Oryza sativa Japonica Group: one gene and its partners. The protein of the gene in region 1 binds, or shares a complex with, the protein of each later gene. Links are inferred from orthologs where the notes say so. Each region holds a gene or a part of one and is shown in the gene's direction. Other genes may lie near its edges.

Region 1 (3,721 bases):
AAGCCGACGGCCCCCTCGATCTTCTCCCCGATGTCGTGGATGAAGTCCTTCACCTTCTCCATGAATCCCCCGCCTCCTTCCTTCTTTTCGCCGCCGTCGTCGTCCCGGCGGTCCTTCCCGCCGCCACGCTCCGTCACCGTGGGGTTCTCCGACGAAGACGACATGCTCGCTAACTTCAGGTAGCAACAACAACAAGCGATCGAATCAAGATCTCACAGCAAGATCAAATCAAGCAAACAGATCGCACGCCATTGCTAACTCCACAAGAATCACCAAAGACTTGATCACAAGAAAGATTGCTTTCTTTTCTCTTTCCTATTCTACACGGCTAGGCTACACACGGCAACAAGATCTGAGGCACAAATATCCTCCAAAACGAAGCGAGAGCAAGTAGAAAGAAACATAGATTGATTTTTTCTTACTTTACCTGTGGGTTGATGCGGAGATCTGGACGAAGCGAGTGGAGATCGCGAGCGGAATGGAGAAATTTAGAGAGAGAAGAAGAAGAAGCACGCGGAGAGATGAGCAGAGCAGAGCACGAGCTTATCGTGGAGCAAGTACGGCGTGGGGCCCACTTGCAGTGACACGAACGGACTGCCAGCTCAGCTATACTGTCGGCTGGACACGAAGTCAGAGGCAAAGCGAGAATTTTTTTCATTTTTAAATTTTTATTTTTTAATATTTAAAAAATATTATACCATCCAAAATATTTACATAAATTACCCCTGACACCTAAGGGTGAGTTTGAGAGGAGGGGAAAAGAGAAGATTGGGAAGATACGTAAAACGAGGTGAGCTATTAGTACATGATTAATTGAGTATAAACTATTTTAAACTTTAAAAATAGATTAATATGATTTTTTAAAGCAACTTTCATATAGAAAATTTTTGCAAAAAACACACCGTTAGTAGTTCGAGAAGCGTGCGTGCGAAAAATGAAACAAACTAACTCACAAACTCCTCCTGCCGAACGCTCCCTAAGTGGAGGGTGGCAAGGTGTGCGTATTTTGCACCGAGATATAATGCAATTTTCACCTTGTAAAAAATACAGTTTTCTAGTTTTTTTTATCTTGTCCGTCCTCACATCACCTTGCCGCCCTCGGGATCTACTTCTGTAAATGTTTTCGCCGTACAATATTTCTGTAAATATTAAAAAATAAAAATTTAAAAATGAAAAAACTTAGGCAAAGCGAAGTGGCTGGAACCTTTACCTGGGCCAATCAAAAGCCGGTCCATTTGGCCCACTAACCCCGGCCCAACAAAAACCGGTTTAATGGGCCTCCATCTAAAAATCCTATCCTTATCTATCCACTGGACACGAAGGCAACACACCTCGCCTACCTCCACTCTCTCGCGCTCGCTCTCCAATGCCGCCACCAATGGCGCTCTCCATCTCCTCCACCGCCGCGGCGACCGCTCTCCTCCCGACTCTCCCGCCCTCGCGCTCGCGCCTGCGCGTCGCGCCGCGCAGGGCGGCGGCTCGGGTGGCGCGCGTGGTGTCGGCCGGATACGCCGCGGGGTTCTACGGCGGGGCGGCGGCTGCGGCCGGTGGCGAGAACGACGAGGTGGGGGATGAGGAGGGTTCGTCCTCGGGGTTCGGTGCTGGGCTAGGGATAGGAGGCGGTGGGCTTGGGATGTCGGCCGCGGAGGCGGCGCTGGCGCTGGAGGAGCGGGAGATGCCGCCGTGCCCGCCCGGGCTTCGCCAGTACGAGACCATGGTCGTGCTCCGCCCCGACATGTCCGAGGAGGAGCGCCTCGCCCTCATACAGCGTTACGAGGAGGTAAAAATCAAAATTACTAGTAAATAATTAGCTGCACTGACTAGGCGCCAATGCATTTGCTATCTGCTGCAGTAGACATGAATTTCCGAGGAAGATTTGTAGTGGCCAATGCATGAGAATTTTATCTTTTGCCAGTTTATGGTAAATCGGGCTGAATTTATGGCACACTGGTAAAACTCAAAATCACTACTAGTGGTAAATAATTAGCTGCATTGACTAGACGCCAATGCATTTTGGATTTGGGCTATGCTGCAGACCTGCTCCTGCAGTTGACATGAATTTCTAGGAAGGTTTGTACTGGCCAATGCATGAACTTGTCATCTTTTCCCAGTTTATGGTAAACCAGGATGAGTTAATGGCATACTTGTTTCTTATTAAAAATGCTGTCATTTGGCTCGTTCTGTCATTAACATTGCTTAAAATCATATATCAGTCATTGTAGGTGAAGCTGAAGCAAATCATTTTGTTGCAAATGTATACTTTCTGGTCAACAGCTACAGCCCCATATTATTTGCGTATGTCATAGTGGAGATACAGGAAGCATAAAATTGTTTCTGCTGTAGAACATACGTTTACTACAGAACCTACCAAAAAAATAGTTTTGTTATTATATATCCATCATTCCATCCTGCGCGCACAATCTCCTGCATTGTTTAGTAGGAGTAGTAGCAATCACCAGTTAACACGCATTCAAGTTTACCTTGGTCTTTTTTTTTTTTTGTCCCATAATTGTCTTGGTTGATGATCAATCAAGCCTCTTGCCCATTCTGTAACCTTAAATTTGATGGTATCCTGAAGTGTGACTTCACTCCATAAGATGTTCACTTGCTACAAACCTATCTGCAATTTGCTTACTGAGTTACTTATGGTGGTTTTTCGCATGTCTTGCAGCTCCTTGTTGCGGGTGGCGCCATGTATGTGGAAGTCTTCAACCGAGGAGTCATCCCACTGGCATACAGCATCAGGAAGAGGAACAGCAGGACTGGTTTGCCATCCACCTACTACGACGGAATCTACCTCCTTGTGACATACTTCACCAAGCCTGAATCCCTGGATGCTCTGCAAATGAGGCTCAATGCTGACGACGATGTCATCCGCTCAACCAGTTTCAAGGTCCGCAAGCGGAAAGCCTTTTAAGATCAGTTTCACCACCTGGACTCAGGTTTCCATGTTTTGGGGAATATGTTTATATCATACAAGAATCCTACTGCCATGGGAGGAGATTGGTTTTTCGCTGCAATCGTTGAGAAAAAATGTCGCCCTTTCTGTTGATAATTTAGAAGAAATTTGTCTTCCTTTTTTTTCGTTATAGCACTGCTCTGATCTTACCTGGTACTCCTACACGTTAAGGGATATTGAACGAACACTTTTGTGGAGCATGGCCTGCTGGGGCCTCTGGAACAAGTTATGCTGTTAACAAAATCAGGGCTCATTTCCTGTACGCCATGGCATTTCATTTATAGGCTGCCTTACCGTGCATTTCATTTGTTGAGTTTTGATCATTTGTTTAACATCAAGACTACCAGGGCATTTAGCTGATAAGAGGGCAAAACACACTGATGGCTGGGAAAAACTAGTTTTGATTAACACAAAATCGTCTTTGGTACACCATAAGTATGATATAAAGTAGTATATGCTGGCCAACCATAGTAGGTCAGAAACAAATGCATACAGCACAGTCTGACGGCATATATCCATGCTCCAGAGTTCTTCAGTAAAAGCTCAACAAACACAATATCTCGGAGGACCACAAGTATCATGTAGAAAAACCAGAATACTCCAAAATCAGCCATCATGGAGCACCAGATTCAGTATCTATCGTGGCGCCTGAAAATAACAACTGTCTAATGTTAGCTCCTAGTGATATAAAGGTTTCCATATCAAAAGCAGATAATTTCATTGTGTTTCTTTGTCATTATACTGTCAAAAGTTTATGGTCGG
Region 2 (3,419 bases), on another chromosome or scaffold:
CACGGCGCCGCCGCCGCGGCGGCCGCGCGCGCCGCCATGCAGCCCATGCAGGCGTACGACGAGGCGTGCAAGGACCAGCACTGGGGCGACGTCGACGCCGCCGACGTGGGCTTCCCCGGCGCCGGAGCGGGGTTCACGGGCCTACTCCTCGAAGGCTCCTTGAACCAGATCCCGAGGCCGGCGGGGAGAGACGCGGAAGCCGACGGCGAGTTCCAGGAGACCGAGGAGGAGAAGAACTACTGGAACAGCATACTGAACCTGGTGAACTCCTCGTCGGCACCTATGTCGACGGCCGTGGTTGTGCCCGCCTCCCACGCGTACTCGCCGGCGCCGGACTTCTGAGCGGAGAAAACCTCGCCGGCATCAAACTTGATTCGATCTCATGACACAGTAAATAGTTTAGCAATGATTGTCGAATAAGATGGGACTAATATTAATGTTAGTAATTATTAATCACGTTCTTGGGTTAACCTGACAATGCTTTCGATTAAACTTGTGGGCAAGAACTTCAACTGTTCAAGGCTGTATCGACATTTGAAATTCGATGCTTGTTTTGTTCGGTGTTCTTATAGAATGTGTAAAACACTGAAACTACTATCAGAGAATGTAGCATCCTTACTTGCAAAGTTACTACTCCTGCTTGTTTTTTTTCAAAACTTACGATCATTTCAGTACTTTGTACCCGGTTCATTTCATTCCACTATCAGTTTTTACTACGCCCAAGCGGTTGGCAACTGGGCACTAGCACTACTGAAGGCCAGGGTTTCCCAAACCACCGGACCGGGGTTACCACACGGTAACCGTGTAAAATTTATCAAAATTTAAAATTATTTTTTAAATTTATTTGAATTTAAGGGGGTTACCGCGGTTTCCCTTTTACCGTACCCCACGGTAAGCGCGGTAATCGCACGGTTACAGACGGTTTTGCAAACCCTGCTGAAGGCAAACGGACGGCCTCATCTTTTCGCTTATACTTATGTTTATCAGTCAAAATTTAAATTTTTACCTTTAAATTTGGGGTTGATTTTATTTTTTTTATCGAAGGTTTATTTTTCAGTCTTTGCTTTTAGATCGTTAAAAATATATATATAAAAGATTTATTCACAAATTATTTTTTATTTACAAATATGCCATTTCGTTTATTCTCGAATAACCGAGACGATTGAGCTGTGAGCTTTTTACTTAGATTGGATCTGGGCCGGGCCGTTTTGTGCTGGGCCATATTGGGCTTTACCATAACTTTCTAGCCCACATCTAATAGCTGACGAGAAGGGGATTATTAAGGGTAAAGATAAGAGGAGGCAGCCCCGCACCATCGTCTTCCTCCTCTTATCCGCACAGGAGCCTCGGACTCGGACACGATGCTGGCGATGTCCGTCCACCCCGCCGCCACGCCGGCCCTCGCCTCGCGCGCCCGCATCTCCCGGCCCAAGCTTTCCGCCGCCTCCCCCTGCACCACCTCCTCCTCCTCCACTCCACGCCTCGTCCACCTCGGCAGCAGGAGGCTTCCCCTTCGCTCGCTCCGTGGCCTCGCCGCCGCCGCCGCTTCTGGCGCCGTCGAAGCGGAGGAGGGAGAAGAGGAGAAGCAAGTCGGAGGTGGGGATGCGAGCGCCGGCGAGGAAGCGCAGGAGGTAATGGGCTAGTAGCCGCTCCAAACCATGCCAGTGACTGAAATTACGGGGTTTTTTTTTTTACCGAGTCGAGCTCAATTTCAGAAGGAAGTGTTGTTTTTTGAAGAGGATGGAGTTCAATCACATTTGGTTTCGCATGAATTTGATTTTTCTTGAATCAATTTTGGTTACCGAACTGATTACTTGAGCTCATAGGTGAAATACAGTACGAGGTGTACATTTGGGTGAATTCACGAGTAGAGTAAATCTTTAGACACAATGCACAGCTGAAAGCTTAAGAGAAGTCACAAGTAGAGTAAATTAGAGAAGTTCTAGTCTAGTTGAGCATGTTTGGGCACTCGGGCTGTCCTTTTGGTGCAGTTTTGCACTTCTGCAGATAAAAGGTGTATGCTAGTGATGAAGAGGCGAAGAGCACATGAAAGCATGTCCACAAACTTGAGCGTGTGCCATTTTTGGTTGTATGTGTAAGCAAGAACTGAACTATTGAACAAACTGTAGCATTGACAGGTTTTGGTCATGAAAGGAGTTTTTTTTCATTCAGCTATTTACGTGATTATGTAACAACATTAACAGGCACAATAAGTTCCTTTTTCATCACTATATCAGATTTCAGAGATGTACACTAAAAGTGGATTAGTTTTGATTATATGGGAGTTACCCTCACAGTTGAAAAATGGGGCCTTTTGTAGAGAAATGAAGTTGTCAATGGAACACGTACAGTAGTTGTTGCAATTTATTTTACTACGACTTGAGCTGTGTTAAAACTGCACAATTTATTTTACTCAGATATGCAAAATCAGTATTAGCATTATGAGATTTGAAACGAATTGATTTTGTATCGCAGTACAAGGTTAAGGTGCCTGAAAGGCAGGATCCAATGCTTGTTCTGAAGTTCATATGGATGGAGAAGAACATTGGCATAGCCCTCGACCAGTTGGTTCCCGGCTATGGCAGCATTCCGTTAAGCCCATACTACTTCTGGCCACGGAAAGATGCCTGGGAGGAGCTAAGAGCAAAGCTGGAGGAGAAAGAGTGGATCTCTCAGAAACAGATGATCATCCTTCTGAATCAGGCCACTGATATCATCAACCTTTGGCAACAGGGTGGTGGCAGCTTGTCAACCTAAGAGGATATCTCAATTCTCCCATCCTTGAGAACCTTGTTTCTTTTTTTCTTGCTTTGGTTACACGGATCTTTGTTGTTACATGACCCTGTAGATCGATTCAAACTGTTTTCGGATACGGTTTTGTTTATGGAAATGAATTGTGATTGATCTCTGTAAGGTAAACGATTTGGGCTCCATCATCCGCAGGGAAGATTGCTAATACCTCTTGATACTACTATACCATGATCCAGTTAAATAAATGTAACTCGATATTTTGAACTTGAAGAAAAAGGGGAATTTCTTTTCTTTCGAAGAGATTTGGGGTCACGGGGGCATATACCCCTTCTACTGCGATTAACTAACACCGGTGATGCCCTGAAAAAGCCCGGCCCGCTCCGCGCACCACGAGCCTAGGCCGTCCACGCGTAGGCCTCTGCAAAACGGGCTGCGGCAACGCGTGAGCCTGTGCGAAACGAGCGTGAAAACGCTCGTGGACTCGTGGAGTCGTCGTGGTGCCCGCGCGTCGTGCTGCGACGCTCGTTCTCACGCCGCATGCAGCGCCGCGCCAGCTTGGTCACGGTCTCAAAAGCGTTCAAAAGGCATGGGAGCAACTGAGCAAGGCGTAGCAGCTTATCATCATCTCGGCCAAGGGGGGAGGAGGGGCAAGGCACATGGAGGCGTTG
Region 3 (3,541 bases), about 7.2 Mb from region 1:
CCAATGTTCTTATAAATCCCCACGTCCCAATTAACGATGCGGTGGAACTATCTGGTTGTTGTGGTTTTACAGTAAATCTTACTGCTCCCAATTGGATGGGCAACCTTATCCGTCGTTTTGAAATGATGTGTTATTTGCCACCAATTGTCCTATTATCTCCATTTATTTTATTTTCACTTGAGACATTTCTGCAAGATGATATTCAGAACGTTCCCCACAGATTATCCTAATACAAAATGCAATACGAATTAAACTTACATTTAGTAGTACCTAAACTGTTACATCTAGGATTATAAACGTGCTGAAATTCTTTATCCTCCCACAAAAACCCCAGAAATTTATATTCAGAGGAAGCTTATGCAGTTCTTTATCCTCCCACAAAAACCCCAGAAATTTATATTCAGAAGAAGCTTATGCAGCATAGCTGATCCTAAAGGCTACAACATATTCTTCTTTTTTTCCTAGAGAGAGGAGAATATTTTCTTTCGTGTTTACTCCCTCCATCTTAAAAAAAAGCTTAAAAAAAAGAAAGTCAGGAACATAACTTAAAAAAGCTTTAAAAAAAAAGAAAGTCAGGAACATAACTTAAGACTGTGTTCGGGAGGAACTCACCTCTCGCGCACGTAAAACGGAGCGAAGCATTTTCTTATGATTAATTAAGTATTTATTAATTGTTTTTGAAAAATGATTTTTTAAAAGCAACTTTTGTGTAGAAATCTTTAAAAAAACACATCGTTTAACCGTTTGAAAAGCGTGCATGCAGAACACAAGGGAGATGTGTTGGAAAAAGTGGGAAAAGAACACAGCCTAGTACTAACTTAATAGCCTAGTACTAACTTAGGGTGTGTTTAGTTCACGCTAAAATTGGAAGCTTGATTGAAATTAGAACGATGTGACAGAAAAGTTGGAAGTTTATGTGTGTAGGAAAGTTTTGATGTGATGTAAAAGTTGGAAGTTTGAAGAAAAAAATTGCAACTACGGCGTTATCTAGATATGGAGTACTCCTAGCTTGTTCTTTTTTCTTTTTCTTTTTTTAACAGAAGGAGTAAACTAGCGACTTGACCTGTTTGGGCCGTACCCTGCAAGGCCCAACCCAAGAAGTCGCCGATACAGTGGTAGCCTACAGGTGCGGCTACCTTATCGGCTTCCTTCCCGTTGGGTTCTATCCGAGACAGCACCGAGAGCTCCGGGAGAGAAGCGCACGCACCTCCGTCCCTCGTCGGGAGCGCAGAAATGGCGACCCTCTCGATGGTCTCCGTCCCCATCGCCACCTCCTCCCTGCCCCTCTCCGCCCGAGGCCGCAGCTCCTCCGTCTCCTTCCCCGTTCCCAAGGTGAGAAGCAAAGCCACCCCTCCCCCCGCCTCCCCCCTCCGCGCCCACTTCTTGTTCGGCCATTTGCTCGCTCGTCCTGTTCCTTGGTTCTGTGCGATTGATATGTGATTCACGCATGACGCATCGTACATCCGTATCACTTATTGCAACTCAACCCCTGGGATCGTTTTGTTATCTTTGCCATCTTGGAGGTTGGGGAGGCTAGTGGCCGTGCTTTGTGTACTACAGTACTAATTTTGAGTATGTGCAATTCAGTAGTTTTTTTTCCGTGATGTTGGAAGAACAGTGTTCCTGTGCAATTTTAGAATTATTGGCATCTGTGAGGAACTAGTATTTATATGCTTGTATGCTTATGAGTTTGAATCTCTGCCCCTAGCACATATCATGTTGGAAGAATGGATAGTGTTACGAAGTAGTATTTCTTTGGACAGCAGAGTGTATATGTAATTCATGTAGGGACTAGGAATAGCAAAGAAGGTTAATTATGCATATAGGATGTAAAAAGAATCGTAATTCCTTGTTAGTACTCCCTCAGTTTCATACTATAAGTAGTCAAAGTTCTTTAGGTTTGACCAAGTTTAAAGAAAAAATTTCCCCACCCCATTATCTTTACTTGCCCAGTCATTTGTAGGCCTGTGCTTTTAACTGTGTTGTGGTTTTGATTCTTTTTTTTTTATTATTGGGTACTGGACAGAAAGGGGGTATTGGTCATGGTGGCCTGCGGATCGAGTGCATTCGTATTGGTGGAGTGGAGATCCCGAACCACAAGAGGGTAGAGTACTCACTGCAGTACATCCATGGCATTGGGCGGTCACGCTCCCGTCAGATCCTCTTGGACCTCAATTTTGACAACAAGGTCACAAAGGACCTCTCCGAGGAGGAAGTCATCACTCTCCGTAAGGAGGTTACCAAGTACATGATTGAGGGAGACCTTGTAATGGCCCTATCCCTTGCTAATTCATCACTTAACTTTTTTTCTGTAATTTTGGTGATTAGTATGGTTACCCTACTTTGGTACTTCCTCCGTTTCACAATATAAGTCATTCTAGCATTTCCCACATTCATATTGATACTAATAAATCTAGATAGATATATATGTCTAGATTCATTAGCATCAATATGAATGTGGTAAATGTTAGAATGACTTACATTGTGAAACGGAGGGAGTAGCATGTTGAAGATTCCTTGAAATTTGGTACCCTTAAACTGATCGTTCTGAAAAAAAAAAGACTCTGTAGTTCTTTTCCCATTTCTGTCATCGTGGATTTATGTTGTGTTGCTAAAATAGAGTTCTGATGTGTTTGCCATGCTTTACAGAAACGGTTTAATCGTGTGGCGATTGAGAGGTTGAAGGAGATTAGGTGTTACAGGGGCATCCGCCACAAGCTAGGGCTGCCAGTTCGTGGACAGAGGACGAAGAACAATTGCAGGACGCTGAAGGGAAGGAGGGCTTCTGTTGCGAAGAAGAAGTCGCCTGCTTCCCAGGAGGAATAAGACACATTGCCATGTATTTACCTTTGGTTCTTTGCCTCTTGTTTATTTTTTGTGTTCTGCTTGACCACGCTCTTGTCTGGTATTATGAGATTTTATGTTGGTGTCGTCATAGATGAATCACGGGTTGTGATCTGTCACTGAAAAAGTTATATTTGTCACCTGTCTTACATGAACTGATGCTAAATTAAGGTTATACTATGTTTTTCAGTCCATCATCTTGCTGTCTCTCTTCTGTTGTCATATCTATGCTTGACCGACCTGTTCCTGATGAATTAACGTATCGCCAGTTTTCTGTCCATTTGTTCCACATGCCACCGTCAGATCTAATGCCTTGTTAACTTTACAAGCTGAAAGAGGAGTATCAGTGTAGCTGAATAATAATATTAGGAACCTGCCTTGCTGATAGCAGCAGACGGGGCTTTTAACTATTTGCCACTCTTACGAATGGTGCTTAACGATTTGCTACTAGACCCACATGTCATAGACACATGAGGGCCCACATGTTATTGGCAGGGTGTGGCAAATCGTTAATTGCCATGTCACAAGAGTGGCAAATAGTTAAATTTCCCGCAGCGGACACCAGTCGAGATTTTGGTTTTTTGTGAAGAGATGATTTAAACTTGAGTTACCAATTACCATGATTACCATGCGTGTGGTTGGAACATGGAACTTTCTGGAGAGAGCTGCTCGGCTCAATCTTGGCTTGTTCACTTTG
Region 4 (2,849 bases), on another chromosome or scaffold:
ATGAAGAATGAGTGCTCTGTGTTCAAAGTAAACTGCAATGACAGGAATCTGGAAGGGTATGCATTTCATTGACTCGTCCAACTTGTTCTTCACATACTATCCAATCATCATGCAATTTCCTCACATGATGTGATGAGGCCATGTTCTCTTTCAGATGCCGCAGGTCTCTTCAGAAGATGAAGAGGGAGCATGCCACTCTGAAGCAGAAGCTGGAATCATATTTTCAGGTATGTTGTACTACATCCTTGTCTCTCTCTCTTTCTGTTTACCTTATTTTCAGCATTGCTACATGGCTAAACAACTTGGTTATCTCCTGTTCCTTCTGCTGATGCAGTTACTGAGGCAAGTTGGTCCCCGTGATTATGCAGTGAGCTCAAGGAAGTAAGAAGAACAGTATGAGTTCCAAGGAAAATAAAGAACATATACATAGCAGCTATCAGTCTCTTGAAAATTCTGTCGCTGAAAAGTTTTTGTGCCAATCAGATACTCATAATGCTTAATGGTGCCTTTTTGTTGTGTTTGGATTGCATCTGTAGCTCCATAATCCATATATACTGTATGAAGTTATGTAAAGCCCTGCTTATGCACACTCTCCTTGCCTGTCTACAAAGTGCCATGAACTTGTGTTATTAGTCAGTAATTGTAGCAGAAAGTGTCATGGTACTAATATGAGCTTTTAATGTTTGAAACTAGTAATATGTAAACTAGTTTTTTGGGTTAATTAATTGCCCAGGTGCCATCATGGAAAACTATTTGTTTGTACTTTGTATACTCAACAAACGCTATAGTCACATTCCCAGAACCAAAGACACTTAAAAACACTGGTTTTTCATCTCTTCCACTAATATTCATAACAGTGTTTGAGCTTTAACCATCAATATCATTTTGAACGTTTCGATTTCTAAAATCTTAAAAACGTTATGGCTAGATTTGTCTTCAGAAGTCCTAAAAATATCATAACTTTGCTATATTCTTCATAAGTTTTATACTAGTAGTAATAATTTAATCATAAAAAAATGATTATCTATAGAAAAAGAAATGAGAGGACAAAAAAAAAAGAAAGAGAAACATCAGAATTGCAGAGGGCCAAGCCAATCATGGGCTTGGTCCATAGGCCCAAGAGACAAAGCCCAATCCATGGGCCTGGGCTTCCCTTTCCCTCCGTTTTATCTACTCCGATGCACGCACAGCTTATCCGATTCCATCCATTCCTCAAGCTCTCACTCCTCTCTCGCTTCCATGGCGCTCCTCGCCGTCCACGCCATGGCCGCGTCCCCGGCCACCTTCCCCTCCTCCCACCACCACGCCGCCGTCTCCTCCTACTGCGCGCTCCCCGCCGCCGCCGCATTCTCCCGCTCCCGCTCTCGCGTCGCCGCCGCCGCCGCCGCCACCCTCTCGGCCCCGCTCACTCCAGTTCTTGAAGGTAACTGACATGCCTACCTAACCTCCCTGTCTCTGTTTTGTTCGTCAATTCGGATTAGTCTGGTGTGAAATTGGCTCGATGATCTTATATGAAACTGCTTTTCAAATCGTATTGCACGAATTCAATTGATACAGCACCAAAACATAGATTGAAACAAAAACCTCGCAGTTTGAACCAATTACGATTCCAACTCAAATTACTCCATTTGGTGTGACCAGTTTACTGCGGGAGAGGGGACAAGAAGACCAAGAGGGGAAAAAGGTTCAACCACTCGTACGGAAATGTGAGTCTCTAGCACAAAAATAAAATTAATAAAAAAATCATATGCTTATTGCTTCCTGTGCTGCTGTTTGCTGCAATTCTTCAGACTTGCCATCTGCTGACTGCTGTTTGCTCATCTCAGGCGAGGCCGCGCAACAAGAAGAAGGGAACTGGCCCTGCACGGCTGTTCGCGCCGCCTGCGCCTCCGAGGAAGGACCAGTTCGACGACGGCGAGGTCACCCCGATCGACATCGACGATGACATCCTGGAATAGGTTGTCTGAATTTCCCCCCTTGAATTATGGTTTACCTTGAGCTTACCTTTTGTCTAGTCTGTACCAAACACTGTTTCTTGAAATTAATTACAGTACATTACATGGTCTCATTCTACATAATGTAGATGCCTATGATTTCTTTCCTTGTAATATATATGAATGGTGCTGCTTAGAGTCATTTTTTATGCATTACCAGCTGAAGCAGAACATAAGTACAGATACAATCACCAAACTTTCATGTTCTTGCTAGAAACCAGGGAAGATGCAGTATCTCTTTTTTTTTTCTTTTCTAGCTGTGTCCCTGAATTCAAGCACCTTTTGACATGCTTCGAATTTGTTGTGATGATCTGGGAAGCAGTTCTTAAGAATCAACTAATAAACCAGTCCATCAGATCGGGTCAGAAATCTGCCCCTTTTTTGTTGTTTTGTCTGTTGACTCTGTTATGCGCTTGAGTTTTGACACAAGAAATTGTTTTGATGATCTGCAAAACATATTCCTTTAAAGCTGGACAACAAACCAGTTCAACTGGTCAGCTTGGTGGTAATTGTATGTTAAAATTCTGTCATTTTTTGTTGTTTCGTCTGCAAGTTTGTTGTGAGCTGCTCCCCCCGCCCACAAGGGTAAGCAACTATCTCGCCCGAAATATACTACAATTTTGGCCCAAACTGGAAGTGTAAACCCTGCTACGCAATGGCTTTAAGAACCCTAAACCCTGAAGCATGTTTTGTTTGCTACCATTTCAAGCCATCACAAATTTTGGTAAGATAACGAACCAAATATGTTCGAGTATCCCTACCTTACCAAAATTTGGTAACGTACGAAACAAACCCGCCATCTGTTCAAAAATTTGGTGAAGTAACAAACCAAACATTTTCCCACAGTCCTAACAT
Region 5 (2,359 bases), on another chromosome or scaffold:
TTGTCTTATTTGATAAGGTTATGAATTAACAAATAAGACAGGAAAGAGTAAATATTCGCCCGCGAAATTTTTATTGAATTAGAATACTTTACCGCGATTCAATAAGAGTAAAATAAAAAAAGGAGATTAAAAAAAAAAAAAAAAAGAATTACATTAAATATAGAATATAGATAAATAAACATACACATCTAGATATATTCTAGATCCTCTTTCTTGACTATATATTTTAGTATTTTAATAAATTCAATATTAAAAACCCTAACCTTTCCTATTAATGTGTATCTATCCGTAATATTTTAGAATATTGTGGAATTAGAGAAATTTGGCACACTTTCTCATTTGATTCGCGAGGAGCTGGATGAGAAGAAACTCTCATGTCCAGTTTTGCAGTAGAGATGGAACTAAGAGAGAACCATCGACTATAACCCCAAAAGAACCAGATTTCGTAAACAACATAGAGGAAGAATGAAGGGAAAATCCTACCGAGGCAATTGTATTTGTTTTGGTAGATATGCTCTTCAAGCACTTGAACCCACTTGGATTACGGCGAGGCAGATAGAAGCAGGACGAAGAGCAATGACACGATATGCACGTCGTGGTGGAAAAATCTGGGTACGTATATTTCCCGACAAACCGGTTACAATAAGACCGACCGAAACACGTATGGGTTCGGGAAAGGGATCCCCCGAATATTGGGTAGCCGTTGTTAAACCAGGTCGAATACTTTATGAAATGGGCGGAGTATCCGAAACTGTAGCTAGACGAGCTATTTCCATAGCTGCCAGCAAAATGCCCATACGAAGTCAATTTCTTCGGTTAGAAATATAACCCCCCAAAAAAAGTAGTATTGAAAATAAAAAACCAGGTTCTTCTTTCTGGAAAGACAATATTTCTTTCATCCTTTTGCATTGAAATAACAAATTGAAATCAAAATAATATGATTCAACCTCAGACCCTTTTAAATGTAGCAGATAACAGTGGAGCTCGAAAATTGATGTGTATTCGAGTCATAGGAGCTGCTAGTAATCAGCGATATGCTCGTATTGGTGATGTTATTGTTGCTGTAATCAAAGACGCAGTGCCCCAAATGCCTCTAGAAAGATCCGAAGTAATTCGAGCTGTAATTGTACGTACATGTAAAGAGTTCAAATGCGAAGACGGTATAATAATACGCTATGACGACAATGCAGCGGTTATCATTGATCAAAAAGGAAATCCAAAAGGAACTCGCGTTTTTGGCGCGATCGCCGAGGAATTGAGAGAATTGAATTTTACTAAAATAGTTTCATTAGCTCCTGAAGTATTATAAATACTAGTAGACAAGATATAGATCAAATAAAAAATTAGTAGATTGTGTTTCACGTATATGCTTTAGAATCCAAAACGAAAAGAAAAAAGAGAACATGTTGATTATAGAAAAATTAGGAGGAACCTAGAATTAGAGTCTTATGGGCAAGGACACTATTGCTGATTTACTAACCTCTATAAGAAACGCGGACATGAATAAAAAAGGAACTGTTCGGGTAGTATCTACAAATATTACCGAAAACATTGTTAAAATACTTCTACGAGAGGGTTTTATTGAAAGTGTTCGGAAACATCAGGAAAGTAACAGATATTTCTTGGTTTCAACTTTGCGACATCAAAAGAGAAAGACTAGAAAGGGAATATATAGAACTAGAACCTTTTTAAAGCGTATCAGCCGACCTGGCTTACGAATTTATGCCAACTATCAAGGAATTCCTAAGGTTTTGGGCGGAATGGGAATTGCTATTCTTTCTACTTCTCGAGGTATAATGACAGATCGAGAAGCTCGACTAAACAGAATTGGGGGAGAAGTCTTATGTTATATATGGTAATCGCCCGCCTATAGCGGTAATCGCCCCACCTATAGTTATAGTACCCAAATTCTATCTTGAACTTCCTATTTTTCAAACAAAAATACAACGTTTTTTTATTTGAAAATAAAAAAAGAAAAATAGGAGAAAAAAAAATATGACAGAAAAGAAAAATAGGAGAGAAAAAAAAAACCCGAGAGAAGCAAAAATTACTTTCGAGGGTTTAGTTATGGAAGCCCTACCCAACGGAATGTTCCGCGTTCGCCTAGAGAATGACACCATCATCCTGGGCTATATTTCAGGAAAGATCCGGTCTAGTTCTATACGAATACTGATGGGGGATAGGGTCAAAATTGAAGTAAGTCGTTATGATTCAAGCAAGGGGCGTATAATTTATAGACTTCCCCATAAGGATTCGAAGCGTACCGAAGACTCGAAGGATACCGAAGATTTGAAGGATACCAAAGATTCAAAGGGTTAGGTTTTTCTTTTTTTTTTCTAGGGTAAAAAATTCAAAGTTC
Region 6 (2,541 bases), on another chromosome or scaffold:
GTATTAGATTTCGAAAGCCCTTCTTTCCCTAATTTAGAAGGGAGTTCCGCTAGCAACACAACGTAATTAACTCGATTCGTTAGAACAGCTTCCATTGAGTCTCTGCACCTATCCTTTTCCTTTGGGTTCTAGTTCGAGAACCGCTTGTTTTCTCAAAACATGGATTTGGCTCAGGATTGCCCCTTTTTTAATTCCAGGGTTTCTCTGAATTTGGAAGTTGCCACTTAGCAGGTTTCCATACCAAGGCTCAATACAATCAAGTCCGTAGCGTCTACCGATTTCGCCATATCCCCATTTTCTTTTTCTTTGAGACCAGGATTCCTTGTGCAATTTCCTCCATCTGTTAGTTTTTTTTGAATCGTTGAATTCATTACTCTATGTAGTCTAGCGGTTCGTCTCTAGTTGAGAGACTCCGCTTATTGCAATTCAGCATTGAATTGATTCTATCGTTGATGTATTTGCAATTCAATGCGAATCAATATATCCCAAGGTTTTTCTCTCCCCCACCTACCGCGTTCCTTTTTTAGAGTATTCAAAATCATACTATAACGCTTGATATTCATTCTTTTTTTTTGCTAATCAGAATTAGCAATTTCATTTGCTATGATTCTATGTTCTCCTTAGTGAAATATTAATCATTAAATTATTAGCAAATAACAAAAAAAAACAAAATAATCTCAAAAAATGTCTATAATGATGGACTGAAAATACAAGAAATTCGCATGTTCTCTTTATTATGTTTTCGTATATAATATATATTATTTATTCTTTTCCATGTATTAGATTATTCGTCCGAGCCATATCAAATTAAAAATATCTAAAATCAAATTCAATATAGAAATTGGAATAGATTCTATTAGAAAAATAGATTTGCGAATTAGAGAAAAAAGAAAGTTCAAAAAAATCTATCTAACTTTATTTTATGAAGTTCTAGTATTTTTTTCTAAGTAGAACTTCCAATTTCGAACTAGTTAATAGCTAAGATTAATAATTAAGATCTGACATTTTACGGATTTCCTATACTATACATATTTCTATTTGTTACACTATTTCTGTTATGTAAGCCCACTTAGCTCAGAGGTTAGAGCATCGCATTTGTAATGCGAGGGTCATCGGTTCAAATCCGATAGTCGGCTTTTTTCTCTATCAATGTTCCATGAACAAAAATACCTCTTTTTCTCCGAATTAAATGGAGAAGCCAGGATCTATTATGTCGGTCTACCCTACAATTTTGCTAGATACAAAACAATAAAATAAATAATATATATACAAAAATTCAGATGTTGATGAAATTCCATTTTTTTGTGGTACTTTTAGTAGATTTTACTCTGTTTATCCTTTACTTTAATTCAGTTTTAATTTCGATGTATTCTGTAATGTAAATACAATGAAATTAATTGTGTAAAATGAAATTTCAATAAAAAAAGGAGTCTTCATGTCCCGTTATCGAGGACCTCGTTTTAAAAAAATACGCCGTCTGGGAGCTTTACCAGGACTCACTAGAAAAACACCTAAATCCGGAAGTAATCTGAAAAAGAAATTCCATTCTGGGAAAAAAGAACAATATCGTATTCGTCTTCAAGAAAAACAGAAATTGCGTTTTCATTATGGTCTGACAGAACGACAATTACTTAGATATGTACATATCGCTGGAAAAGCAAAAAGTTCAACAGGTCAGGTTTTACTACAATTACTTGAAATGCGTTTGGATAATATCCTTTTTCGATTAGGTATGGCTTCAACCATTCCCGAGGCCCGGCAATTAGTTAACCATAGACATATTTTAGTTAATGGTCGTATAGTCGATATACCAAGTTTTCGTTGCAAACCCCGAGATATTATTACTACGAAGGATAACCAAAGATCAAAACGTCTGGTTCAAAATTCTATTGCTTCATCCGACCCGGGGAAATTGCCAAAGCATTTGACGATTGACACATTGCAATATAAAGGACTAGTAAAAAAAATCCTGGATAGGAAGTGGGTCGGTCTCAAAATAAATGAGTTGTTAGTTGTAGAATATTACTCTCGTCAAACTTGAACTTAAGGAAAAACGGAAAGGTTCATAGAATTTTTCTTCCCTTCCCCTTTCCCCGAACTAAATCGACCTAAGGCTCTTAATTCGTATTTTCCCATTCACCTAACAGAAATGGATTAACCCTAGGATTCCTTTTTGTTTTTTGTTCTTTCCTCTATGTGTATTTTACATACCATAGTAATTTGGTATAGAGAATTTCTATTAAATAAAGGTATTGTATTATTGCTGGAATAAATTGTCATTTGATTTGATACATTGTAATCATTAACGTTGCTGAATTAAGAAAAACGGAAAGAGAGGGATTCGAACCCTCGGTAAACAAAAGTCTACATAGCAGTTCCAATGCTACGCCTTGAACCGCTCGGCCATCTCTCCTCCATAATCTTATTATGGAAAAAAAACTGAGTGAATAGCGAGTTTTCCTATTCCTGCAGTACAGGTACAACCACAACCGCGCGAGAGTTCCATTGTTCTATTAGATAGAAAAATTCCTTTTCATCTAA

The links.
Region 2: small ribosomal subunit protein bS6c (region 1) and small ribosomal subunit protein cS23 share a complex: the UniProt entries of both Arabidopsis thaliana proteins name them as parts of the 30S ribosomal subunit. The link is inferred for Oryza sativa Japonica Group from reciprocal best matches to the Arabidopsis thaliana genes AT1G64510 and PSRP3/1.
Region 3: small ribosomal subunit protein bS6c (region 1) and small ribosomal subunit protein uS13c share a complex: the UniProt entries of both Arabidopsis thaliana proteins name them as parts of the 30S ribosomal subunit. The link is inferred for Oryza sativa Japonica Group from reciprocal best matches to the Arabidopsis thaliana genes AT1G64510 and EMB3137.
Region 4: small ribosomal subunit protein bS6c (region 1) and 30S ribosomal protein S31, chloroplastic share a complex: the UniProt entries of both Arabidopsis thaliana proteins name them as parts of the 30S ribosomal subunit. The link is inferred for Oryza sativa Japonica Group from reciprocal best matches to the Arabidopsis thaliana genes AT1G64510 and PSRP4.
Region 5: small ribosomal subunit protein bS6c (region 1) and rps8 share a complex: the UniProt entries of both Arabidopsis thaliana proteins name them as parts of the 30S ribosomal subunit. The link is inferred for Oryza sativa Japonica Group from reciprocal best matches to the Arabidopsis thaliana genes AT1G64510 and rps8.
Region 6: small ribosomal subunit protein bS6c (region 1) and rps4 share a complex: the UniProt entries of both Arabidopsis thaliana proteins name them as parts of the 30S ribosomal subunit. The link is inferred for Oryza sativa Japonica Group from reciprocal best matches to the Arabidopsis thaliana genes AT1G64510 and rps4.

The regions. Positions count from the first base shown.
Region 1 is NC_089037.1:36,416,191-36,419,911, forward strand, and holds small ribosomal subunit protein bS6c, read left to right. Parts: upstream 1-1,334; 5' UTR 1,335-1,366; coding exon 1,367-1,780; intron 1,781-2,671; coding exon 2,672-2,917; 3' UTR 2,918-3,221; downstream 3,222-3,721. Other genes in the region: uncharacterized protein, read right to left, coding at 1-164; uncharacterized protein, read right to left, coding at 3,589-3,607. UniProt on the Arabidopsis thaliana protein: Binds together with bS18 to 16S ribosomal RNA.
Region 2 is NC_089038.1:23,520,269-23,523,687, forward strand, and holds small ribosomal subunit protein cS23, read left to right. Parts: upstream 1-1,309; 5' UTR 1,310-1,361; coding exon 1,362-1,631; intron 1,632-2,475; coding exon 2,476-2,757; 3' UTR 2,758-2,919; downstream 2,920-3,419. Other genes in the region: transcription factor MYB106, read left to right, coding at 1-342. UniProt on the Arabidopsis thaliana protein: Component of the chloroplast ribosome (chloro-ribosome), a dedicated translation machinery responsible for the synthesis of chloroplast genome-encoded proteins, including proteins of the transcription and translation machinery and components of the photosynthetic apparatus.
Region 3 is NC_089037.1:29,173,911-29,177,451, forward strand, and holds small ribosomal subunit protein uS13c, read left to right. Parts: upstream 1-1,139; 5' UTR 1,140-1,233; coding exon 1,234-1,332; intron 1,333-2,026; coding exon 2,027-2,266; intron 2,267-2,649; coding exon 2,650-2,826; 3' UTR 2,827-3,041; downstream 3,042-3,541. UniProt on the Arabidopsis thaliana protein: Located at the top of the head of the 30S subunit, it contacts several helices of the 16S rRNA.
Region 4 is NC_089039.1:5,295,874-5,298,722, reverse strand, and holds 30S ribosomal protein S31, chloroplastic, read left to right. Parts: upstream 1-1,193; 5' UTR 1,194-1,239; coding exon 1,240-1,423; intron 1,424-1,641; coding exon 1,642-1,706; intron 1,707-1,790; coding exon 1,791-1,958; 3' UTR 1,959-2,349; downstream 2,350-2,849. Other genes in the region: pseudo histidine-containing phosphotransfer protein 2, read left to right, coding at 1-56, 155-227, 335-385.
Region 5 is NC_001320.1:76,198-78,556, reverse strand, and holds rps8 (ribosomal protein S8), read left to right. Parts: upstream 1-1,448; coding exon 1,449-1,859; downstream 1,860-2,359. Other genes in the region: rpl16 (ribosomal protein L16), read left to right, coding at 427-828; rpl14 (ribosomal protein L14), read left to right, coding at 938-1,309; infA (translation initiation factor 1), read left to right, coding at 1,996-2,319. UniProt on the Arabidopsis thaliana protein: One of the primary rRNA binding proteins, it binds directly to 16S rRNA central domain where it helps coordinate assembly of the platform of the 30S subunit.
Region 6 is NC_001320.1:44,310-46,850, reverse strand, and holds rps4 (ribosomal protein S4), read left to right. Parts: upstream 1-1,435; coding exon 1,436-2,041; downstream 2,042-2,541. UniProt on the Arabidopsis thaliana protein: One of the primary rRNA binding proteins, it binds directly to 16S rRNA where it nucleates assembly of the body of the 30S subunit. With S5 and S12 plays an important role in translational accuracy.